Drosophila melanogaster: one gene and its partner. The protein of the gene in region 2 interacts with the protein of the main gene of each other region in a pairwise test. Each region holds a gene or a part of one and is shown on either strand. Other genes may lie near its edges.

Region 1 (4,250 bases), on a different chromosome or scaffold from region 2:
CCAGTAGGCTCGTGCCAGCACTGAAATAGCGTGTCCCTGGCCCATGGCTGATATCCACCCCGGACGCAATTCGGCAAAGCCGTTGAGGCTGCGACGCACAGGATTGGTCCAGCCACCCGTCTTGGGGTCCTGGTTGTGGACGAACCACTCAGCCGCGTCGTAGAAGTGAGCCAGATGGTCACTGGTGGACAAGGTGATATTGTCGAAGAAGCCAAGGCCCAGAAAGCCAATAGATATTACCTCCAGATCGGAGCGCCGTATCTTTAGCGGCGAGCGTTTGTCACCCATGATGCCCTTTTGAAGGTCAATGTGCAGGTCTCGAGTGATGTGGCGCCACTTGTTCAGTGCCGAGCCTCCCAGACCGTAGTAGATGTTTGTATCCTGCACGCTCAGCAGCAGATCTGCGGGTATGTAGTGCAGGCTGTAGTTGTGACGGGTGTCCCGATTCTGAACGGTAATCATGAGACTACTGCTATTGGTTACCAGGAGCAGATCAACGCTGAGCAGAAGATCCAATGTCTGGTTTAGAGCAATGCTGATGACGCCTTCGTAACCAGGTGCCGTCTCGAACTGGACAACACTGGTGTTAAACTTGTGGTGCCAGATGCGGGTCATGTTGCTGGTCTTGGGCGTACTCCATTCCATCTGGTTCCCGTCGCCGTCCTCCAACACGCGAACCCTGGGTGCCGGCTCTGTGAGGTTCTTGCTGTAGTGCGACAACGCGAACTGGGCAATTTGTGTGGGGTAAAAGTACCCACGCTTCTCCCATTGCGTGCTCACTGGAACGCCCTCCGCGGCACTGATGCACTTTACCCGGTCGCGCACTTCCACGTTGTAGTTCTCAAAGTACATATAGACGCCGCGCGCATCGTACTTTCCCCTGGGAAGGTTAACTTTGGCTGTGCTGTGCACCCAGTTGAACTTGGCCACCTCATTGCTGTTGGTGGAAACTGCTCCACTGACGTCGAAGTAGTTACGCAGGAAGGAAAACGGAACGTAAACCTCGTTGGCGTTCTCGTCTCGCTTGCAGTGCACGGTGTACTCCTGGTTAATGGAGCACTCAATGTCGTGCAGCGCTGTAGCTTCTCCTCCGCTGGAGGACTGCCTTGCGGACCGGTCCAGAGGACGCACAAAGTCCGGCGAAAAGGAGAAGGCGGCGCAGCGCATATACACGCCCAGAGTGATTACCACCACAGCCACTGTGAGGACAAGCAGCACGGCTTTTAGGTTCAGTCGCATGATGAAAAAGACCAGTGGCTCGCGTTGCTAAAGAAAATTCTAAGATTAGCCAACTGATAACACGACGAAATAGACATTGTTACCTTTACCCCTTGGAATTTAGGTGGCTCCCGGTTTTCCCTGCTTACTGGAAGCGCGGGTGCGGAAAGGGCATCTCTCTGACTGCTTAGATATTTGGACATTCGGTTGGGGGCGAACTCTCTAACTGGCTTCTAGGTGAGTCATGCTCTAAATTTAAAACTGCATTCATCTGGCAGATGCATTGCTGACGATGATAATGGTGCACCAGTACGCGTACGTCTCTTTCACTGTCTCTGTCTAAAATTCCACCTGCCGAGCCTGTAGCCCTCTGAGTTCAGTCCAGGGCCATCCAAAGTTGATATTTCAAGTGCATCCAGTTCTCACTAAGCATATTTTGCTTAGATTTGCGCTGCTCTTCTCGCTTTAATGGGCGAACACTGCGAAAACACAGAAACTGCGATACAGATGAGCAAATGTTTTGACATATGACAAATGGTCGCTCTTGGGCGGCCTATGCACGTAAGCTATCGATAACAAGCATTAACCGTGTGCATCGTTACTTCTGTAGCTAAGTAATTTAAATAGTTTAATTTTCGAGTTTAAATAGTTTATATTCCTCCTTTGGTTGAAAATGAACTTTTATTTATAAATTCATTGGTATTTTCAAATGTTCCCATACGCATGCTGACAACTATCGACGAACCGATAGCATCAACACGACGGCGATTAATCAATAGTGCAATGTTTACAAAATATTTCGGGTGGATGTCGGTGAGAAGGCGCGTTTAACTAGTTTTAGTAATGTCTAGTCGTAGTTTAAGTGCAATAGTCTTGCTCCTTGGGGCGTTAGTGACCGCCTGCCTCGCCTCCAACGGCGACCGCACACAGTTTTTTCACAATTGCCGACAGAACTGCGAGCGAACGAACTGCTCGGCAGGTGAGAAGTGCTATCCACTTTAATTGCAAGTCTTAAGAGCAAGCTTCCATTGGCAGATGGACTGGAGATCCAGGAGCAGGCAGTCAAGTTTTACCAGCAGTCGGTGTTTGACCGGCTCTTCCAGTGGAGCTGCGCGGACGAGTGTCAGTATGGATGCATGTGGCGAACGGTGTTCGCCTTCTTTGAACGCGGTTGGCCGATTCCCCAGTTCTACGGCAAGTGGCCCTTTCTCCGCCTGCTGGGCATGCAGGAGCCGGCCTCAGTTATCTTCTCCTGCCTGAATTTTGTCGTTCACCTGCGCTTGTTACGCAAGTTCCGCCGAGAAGTGCGTCCGGACAGTCCCTGCTATATGCTGACCCACATATTCGCAGTGGTATGCCTTTATTTACACGATCAGCCAATAAAGTCGTTATACTAAGTTCCCTCGATCCTTACTCTTCCAGACGAGTCTCAACGGCTGGATCTGGTCCGCCATCTTTCACACAAGGGACTTTCCACTGACCGAGCTGCTGGACTACGCCTTTGCCTATTCCATCATCTTGTGCTCACTTTACGTCATGGTCATGCGGATGCTGCACCGCTACTCGCTGTTCCTACGGGGTGTTATCACGTTGGCATTCCTCTCCTACTACATTAACTACTTTGCCTACCTGAGCGTGGGACGGTTCAACTATGCGTTCAACATGATGGTAAACGTGGCTACGGGAGTTATAGCGGCAGTGGGATGGTTCGTTTGGTGTCACTTTGTGCGCACCCGCAGGCCCTACTTTAGAAGGATCCTGCGTTTCTATATTCTCATGGCGTTGGCTATGAGCCTTGAACTGCTTGACTTTCCGCCCATCCTCTGGATTCTGGATGCTCATGCTCTGTGGCACTTGGCAACAATTCCTCTGGCATCCCTATACTATGAGTGCGTAGAAATATTACTTTATTCTAATATTGCTACATGTGTTTGCATTTTAGCTTCATGATAGAGGACTGTCGAACCCTGCGAAAGGAGAAGGCTGCGGCGGGCGGCTATTCATTCTACAATTAGTATTATCTAAGTTATTCTTAGCCCTTAAAGCACGCAAAGCTATCTGGCAATTTTTCTGACATATTTCATGTAATTTGTAACAGAGCGAAAACATGTAATGTATTTTATTGAATGTCAAAGCGAAAACATCCTTTGACAGTAACCAGAACGGCAGGAAAACTAATAGCTTCGTTTAAAAAGACATAATAGAGACTTTATTACAACATTTAGAACTCCGTGCTACATTTGCCCGCACTGCGAAATGGTCACTGGGAGCTTCGGCTTGTTATTGGGGCCCGTGGGCACGTTCTCGATCTTGCGCATGATGAGCAGTCCATCCAGAACCCGACCGAACACCACGTGCTTTCCGTCTAAAAAGTTGCACTTGGCGCAGGTGATAAAGAATTGGCAGCCGTTCGTCTCCTTGCCACTGTTTGCCATGGAAAGGAGGCCGGGCGAGTCGTGCTTCAGGGTAAAGTTCTCGTCGCCGAAGGTGTTGCCGTATATGCTGGTCACGCCGGTGCCGTCGCCCTGCACAAAGTCGCCGCCCTGGATCATGAAGTCCTTGATCACCCGATGGAAACTGGCGCCTTTGTAGCCAATGGGAACGCCATCCGGTCGGTACTCGCCCGTGCAGAACTGCCGGAAGTTTTCCGCCGTGCGGGGCACTGTGTCCGCAAAGAGTTCGAATATCATTCGTCCGATTTCCTGCACACAAAAGGCGTTAGAAGGCGGAGTTATGTACAGATTATGACTAGATTGTTTTCAGCTCACCGTTGTGCCTACGGCAATGTCGAAGAAAACGACGGGATTGTTGGAGCTTCTCAGTTGGGACTGTATTTGATTCCAGTTAGGCATTTTAAAATTATTTTATTTGTTTATAAACTTTCTAACAAGTCAAGATTAAGATTTTACTAAGCCGGCAGATTTTTGTTTATGTTTATTACGATGGTTCGATGACGATGCACGACAAGTCGATAGCATCACAAGCCGGTTATATCGATAGCACACGTGTGCCAAGTGCTTGTTTATATTTTG
Region 2 (6,161 bases):
AGGCAGAAAAGCCCGAAGAAAGATTCGTATTTTGGATTTGTATTCTTCAATTTAGGCGTGTGTGCAGATATTTGGTCATAAATTCCCCCCCGCCCCAGGCAAAGGTCAGCACCTGCCGAATCGGTTTTGGCCATATAATTAAAGCCTGAGAAGAGCCAAAGAACGGGCAATGAACTTTCAACTCAATTGGGCCCAGCCCATAATTCGGACTTAGGCCAATTTATTAGCCAGCTGCCGGAGTTGGACAAAAACTGAAAAACCAAAACTGGACAGCAGCTTTCTTTGTGCCGTTGCCTCGTTTGAATATGAATCTTTGAGGCCTGACCCCGTTGAACTTCTCCTGCGGCACATTCTTATGGAAATTAAGTTTGCGTTTCTTTTATTTTAGAAATTTTTCGCAGCAGTTTCCGCAGCCTGTTGCCAAGCGGATTTTACTGTGACTTCTTGAATGTCTTGAATAAAATAAGTTTGCATAAAATTGACCCAAGTGCTTGTGGATTTCATTTTTTTGGGGGGAGAAAATCGATTTCAAATTAGCGGATTTATGAAATATATTTAAGACCGTTTAGCGAATTTATATACAACATACATATATGCTAATTTTTGGATGACCCAATTTGGCCCAACAGTTAGTAAGAGTTAAAAATTGAAGACCACAAAAACAAAAATTAATTTATGCGTTCCCACAAACTTTGAAACCAATTTCCAGATCTAGATTAAAAAAAAAAAAACAGTTACTAAACTCTGTACTCTTCGAACTTGGAAAGTTAAAAGTCTTTTTTAGGCATTACAAAATGATCTAACATTTTGGAAATTATATTTCACTATGAATATTTATGAAATGAGATAATATCGGTATATATTAAAGGCACAGTTCCTAAATTGCTGGAGGGAATAAACTATTCTATTTTCTAAAAATACTTCTTTGATCTTTTTAAATTTTTGCCGATGAATTTCAACCTGTTGAAAATTAATAAAAAGCGAAATGAATAGAAATTTAAGAATATAGAATTGACTTTGGTAAATATATTCCAGTTTCCAGTGGGCAGCTATAAAAAATGGTTAAAGGACCGAGGCAAATATTGCATTTGAACACTCATATTATTATCCAAACTATTTGCAAATAATAATTAGTTTAAATTAGTCAGAATGGCCATGACTGCAATATCACTTTTATATCTAAAAGCTGTGAGGTAAAAAAAAAAAAACTCAAATCTGGAAATGAGTCAAGGGGAGAACGCAACCACTGCAAAATTGGTTTTCTATGAGTTCGCATGGCCACTTTTGGTAGCCGTTTTCGAGGTGAACCTCTACAGGATCATTCTGGAGCTTTTGGCCCACATCCTGCTGATCGTAATAACCGTGGTGATGGTCAAAAAGACCTCGGGTTTGGATGACCACAGCAGCGGCCAGCATGCCCTATACGCCATTTTGGGACTGTTTCTATGCGTGGGTGAATCTCTGTTGGTATGCCACTCCTGGTGGTTAGGAGACTTCATCTCCGAAAACCGGCTCAACCTTCTGCACATGGTATTGGGAATGGTGGGACTTTGGCTGGGACTGGTGGGGATATTCGCGAAGAGTATCTTCAAGAGCAAGATACATGAGCCGCACTTTAATTCCAAACATGGATTGTGTGGCCTTTTGGGATTCCTGCTTATCGCTGGGGCCGTGGCCAGTGGTTTCGCCCTGGTGTGCTTCACCCACCTGGCTCTGCACGTCATCCACCGATTGATGGGCTTGTGTGGCTTTGTGCTCCTCTCGTGCAGTCAGTGGTTCGCCCTCAATTTGGGATTCGCACGACGGGAGTGGAGTAGTTGGAAAATTAAAAGGCTCAGGATCTCCACGCTGGCCGCCACCATTTCAGTGGTTAGCTACGAGTTCCTCTGCCTCTGTAGAGACATTGTCCATTTGCTACCCAACAGCTGGTTCAAAGCCATCGGATTGAAAATTGATCACCTTCACAATTAAATTTTATGACCAAGCATTGTGAATAATTAAATTGAAGTGCTGAAGGCAATTGCAAAATGTTTATATTTTCTAAGCCCTACCATATAAAAAAGTAAATCACACAAAAATTACATTTATAGGAATTCTATTCAGCATGACAGCAAATATTTGGAAGATCAAGTGAAGTTTGTTAATCAATTTCGAAAGAAACATTAGCATACTTTCTGACTTTCAACTGAGAAATCCCTTGGAAAACAAAAACACTTTAATATCTATGCTTGCTATTTGGTCATATTGCAGTATGCCTAAGATTTTAAACAAGTTTCAACATTGTTTAATTAAGAAATAATAAATTCCGTGTCAAAAATTGTAGATTTATTGCACGACTAAAGAAAACAGTAAAATTACAGAGGGCTCGCATGTGAAATATTGGCCAACCTTCAGTCTTTCACCTGTACAATTGGCCATTTCCACGCATAAGAAGCCTCTTGGCTGGCATATTAATCACGGGACAAAGGCATAATTCCATCCCAACGTGGCTCGATCAATCAGCGATGCTGGAATACACATTTGCCCCCTATACCATACACCCCTTTCATCGATATTCACATTGGTCATTGGGTATATGACCGGTGGCCGGGGATGGGATACGACCACTTCGCATGCGTCGCTGACTCCGAGAGCAGGTCCATCATAGGTTCGGATCGGCCCTTGACTTCTCGGGTTTCTCGGTCTCTTGGGATGCCGAGATTTGTGCGTGTCTCTGATTGTTTTGTCATTAGCATGACCGCGGCGCTTTTTTTTTTTTTTGGGCCTTTGGTGTTTTTGGTGATCTTCGACTTTTTGATTCGGCGGCTGCTGATTTATTCAGCGCTCTTTCTTTTGTCCCACCGGCGGGTCACTGACATTCGTTTCTAATTCTATTTTTCACCATTTTCTACATTTCTTCCACAAAATTTCGCCACTTGAAATTATGCCGACATCGACCGCAATTATGACCAATGTTCTTGTGGCCTGAGTGGGCTCTCTCTTCTCGGTTTCTATGGGTTCTAGATTATGGATTCTGGATTTTTGGCCAGAACTTTTTCGCATAAAAACCTAATGCCGCCGCCACAGATCGTACAGTTCTGTTTGGGCCTTGCTTACAATTAGGATCCGGTCGGCAGTAAATCTTTAATTTCTGTGCACTTTACGTCGAGAAATCTTCAAAAAAAAAAAAAAAAAACAAGATGTCCAAGCTGGGTGCTATCTTGTTGGTGGGCTTGTGCCTGTTTGTGGCCGTGGCCTTGGCCGAGCCACGCCTTCAGCACGTTCAGGGGCGCAATCAGGTGCAGGGTCAAAGGGCGCAGCAGCATCCCTACCTCTTCCTGTCAATTCCCAAGGGTCGGGCCAACGCCGGCGCCGTCGTCCAGGGCTTCGAAATTGTCGAGGAGGAAGATGATGATCTACATGATGAGGACCAGCACGATGACGAGACGGAGGATGACGAGGAACTGGAGCATCAGCTGGGCCTGAACTTTGCCCGCAGCGGTCTGGCTTACAGGCAGAACCACGCTGATGACGAACAGGACGATGATCAGGATCAGGAGCAGGATCACGTTCAGGATGAGCTGCCCAAGAAGCAGATGATGGTTAACCGGGATCAGGCTGGTGCCATTATGGTGCCCGATGGCATTATCGAGATCGAGGGTCAGAGTGTTCTGGACGAGAAGACCGGCAAGGCGGCTCTCCTAGTGCCTCGTGCCGCCCTAGACGCCATTCCCGATGGCGCGGTGGTGGCTCTTATGGAGCGATCCGCCTCATCCGTTGATGAAATCGAGGAAGAGCGCGCCAACCGCGTGGTAGTTCGTCGCCGCAAGAACAACGGACGCAGGAACATTCGCCGCCGCGGCATCAACAACAACAATATCCGACGCCGCCGCCCCGCCCAAAGGCGTCGCCGAGTGGGTGGCAACCGCAGGCGCAATGTACGCGTCATTCGCCCCCAAGGCGGCAACCGTAGGCGTGGCAACCAGAGGCGCCGCGGACAGGTCGTATTCCAGGGTTGAGACACGAAACGAAGGTCGTCCTAGCCCCATTTCTATATAGTATTATAGTTAAGATCCCCTAACGATCAGGACAAGAAATTTGAGACACTTGATGACGATGCGACAAATAAAATGTGATATGAAAATTATAAATATTTTTTTTCGTATTTTTTATGGGTGGTGAAATTATGATGTGAAATTAACCAACATGCAAAGACTATGGTTTTGAATCATTAAGTTGAAACTTATTTTAAAGGTTTTGCCGTAAAACATCGTATACTACTTGTATAACTTTATTATTTATTTATCATATATGGTGTACCATTTCCTAGCAGTGTATAAGATACATAAGATTGCTTTGCCTCAAAATAGATCACTGCTTAGCTCCATTGATAGAAAAATTTGCATTTATCATGGAGTTTATTTGTATCATGGTTCAGCTTTATTCCAGTTTATCCTTTAACTTCGACACAACCTTAGTTATAAGTCACTTAATGCCCATAGGCTATCAAAAGTATGATATATGAATTAATAACTGCAAATTTTGTATGATAAAGGATCCGAAAATCAGATGGTACACACATATATACAAACAATGGTAGAGAAACTCATTTGAGAACATCTCTATAGAACTGTAAAAGTTTCGTAGTAAACTATTTTTGCTAATCGTTTGGCCAACAAAATAGGTACTACCGAAAAATAACCGTTTAGAGATAAAATTCATTTGATTGTCGTATATTGGAACCAAAGATACTTTTGGTCTTATCCAAATATATATATTAATCAAATGAAAGTTTTAAAAAGTCACGAAATAATTACACAATAACAGTATGTACAATACAAATGTTATATGGAAAATTAAAATATATATTTATTGAAATAATTTGATGTCGCATTCTGATTATATTTTGTCATTGTTTTTGGGAGAGCAAACATACAAAAATAGATAAGCACATATTTTGGAATCGTTGTCAAGAAAAGATTTGCCTCCGAACTATGCAATAAATCGCGAACCCTTTGTAAATTATAAATTTTGAGATTTCATTAAGTTTTGATTTTTTCGAAACGAATTTGGAGACTTCAGTTGAGTACTCCATTCTTTGGTGTGGAAATGCCGAGCACTGAGTGAGCTGAAGCAAGCAGAGAACTGACATCCCAGAACATCTGTGTAAGCCAGATTCCGTGGGTCAATCTCGGCTTGACGTCAATCAATCATCGGCTACTCGGCGATGGATAGAAGAATGGTTTTGGCAAAAGAGATGGGAAATTAGCATAAAATTCGTACGCCTCTGACCCGCGACCCGGTTCACTTTGACCCCGGGCGAACTTTTGCTAATAGAGCTGGCCAAGAAGTGGGAACTGAAAGGAAATGGGGATGCGGGGCGGATGATAGCCATCGATCAGCTGTATGAGCTCCAAGTGGGTATAAAATCCCGGGTCAGTCCATCAGTTGTCAGTCAGTTGTGAGTGAAAACTCAAAGACAACAAGTGAGTTAGGAACCCTCGATCCACAGTCAAGGAAGCCGATTATCCCGATAAGGAGAATCCATCTGCAGAATGCATTGCCTGCTTCAACTGAGTCTGGCTGTGGCCCTTTGCGCCCTCTTAGCCCCATCCACTACCTTGGGTGAGTCCTCAAATATTAACAGAAAGTCGTCAGTCAAGTCACAACTACTTTCTTTATATGTTCCTTAAATATTTCGTATAATTTTAAAATATTTTATCTCAGCCGAACGCCGCAATGTGTACCGCCTGGGTGGACGCGCCTCCGACGCTCAGATGGAGGCCCGCTTCACCTCGTCGATTGCCAACAAGCTGACATCTCTGAAGGGCACCACCACGACGACCACGGTTGCCCCCACTACCACCACCACGCCCACCTCCACTACGGAGACGACCACGCCGACTGCACCAACAACGTCCACTGGCACCTCGACGAGCACCACGACGCCCACAACCTCCGACACCACCACCGGTCGTGCCTTCCCCGCAATTCAAGACGATGTTGAGGAAGATGATGAGGAGATGCCCAGGGCGTTTGAAGATGAAGAAGACGAAGGTGATGACAGCCTGGAGGACGAAGATGATGACGACGATGAGGAGAGCTACTTTGTGGCCGCTCCTTCCGCCGGTGGCAATAGCAATGCCGTGCAGCAGTCCTCAGAGTCCGGCTCGTTGGTCCGC

What was found. Proteins that work in one complex are often made in the same cells at the same time.
Region 1: the proteins of CG3598 (region 2) and PGAP3 interact in a two-hybrid assay, tested with the Drosophila melanogaster proteins (one large-scale study listed by BioGRID).

The regions. Positions count from the first base shown.
Region 1 is NT_033778.4:6,671,621-6,675,870, forward strand, and holds PGAP3 (Post-GPI attachment to proteins 3), read left to right. Parts: upstream 1-1,983; 5' UTR 1,984-2,061; coding exon 2,062-2,197; intron 2,198-2,253; coding exon 2,254-2,570; intron 2,571-2,640; coding exon 2,641-3,107; coding exon of another isoform or gene 3,108-3,160; coding exon 3,161-3,233; 3' UTR 3,234-3,441; downstream 3,442-4,250. Other genes in the region: Hsepi (heparan sulfate C5-epimerase), read right to left, coding at 1-1,266, 1,323-1,421; CG17266 (uncharacterized protein), read right to left, coding at 3,453-3,920, 3,987-4,070. UniProt on the Drosophila melanogaster protein: Involved in the lipid remodeling steps of GPI-anchor maturation.
Region 2 is NC_004354.4:2,933,949-2,940,109, forward strand, and holds CG3598 (uncharacterized protein), read left to right. Parts: upstream 1-3,078; 5' UTR 3,079-3,179; coding exon 3,180-3,998; 3' UTR 3,999-4,125; downstream 4,126-6,161. Other genes in the region: CG3592 (uncharacterized protein), read left to right, coding at 1,222-1,971; CG14420 (uncharacterized protein), read left to right, coding at 5,535-5,604, 5,707-6,161.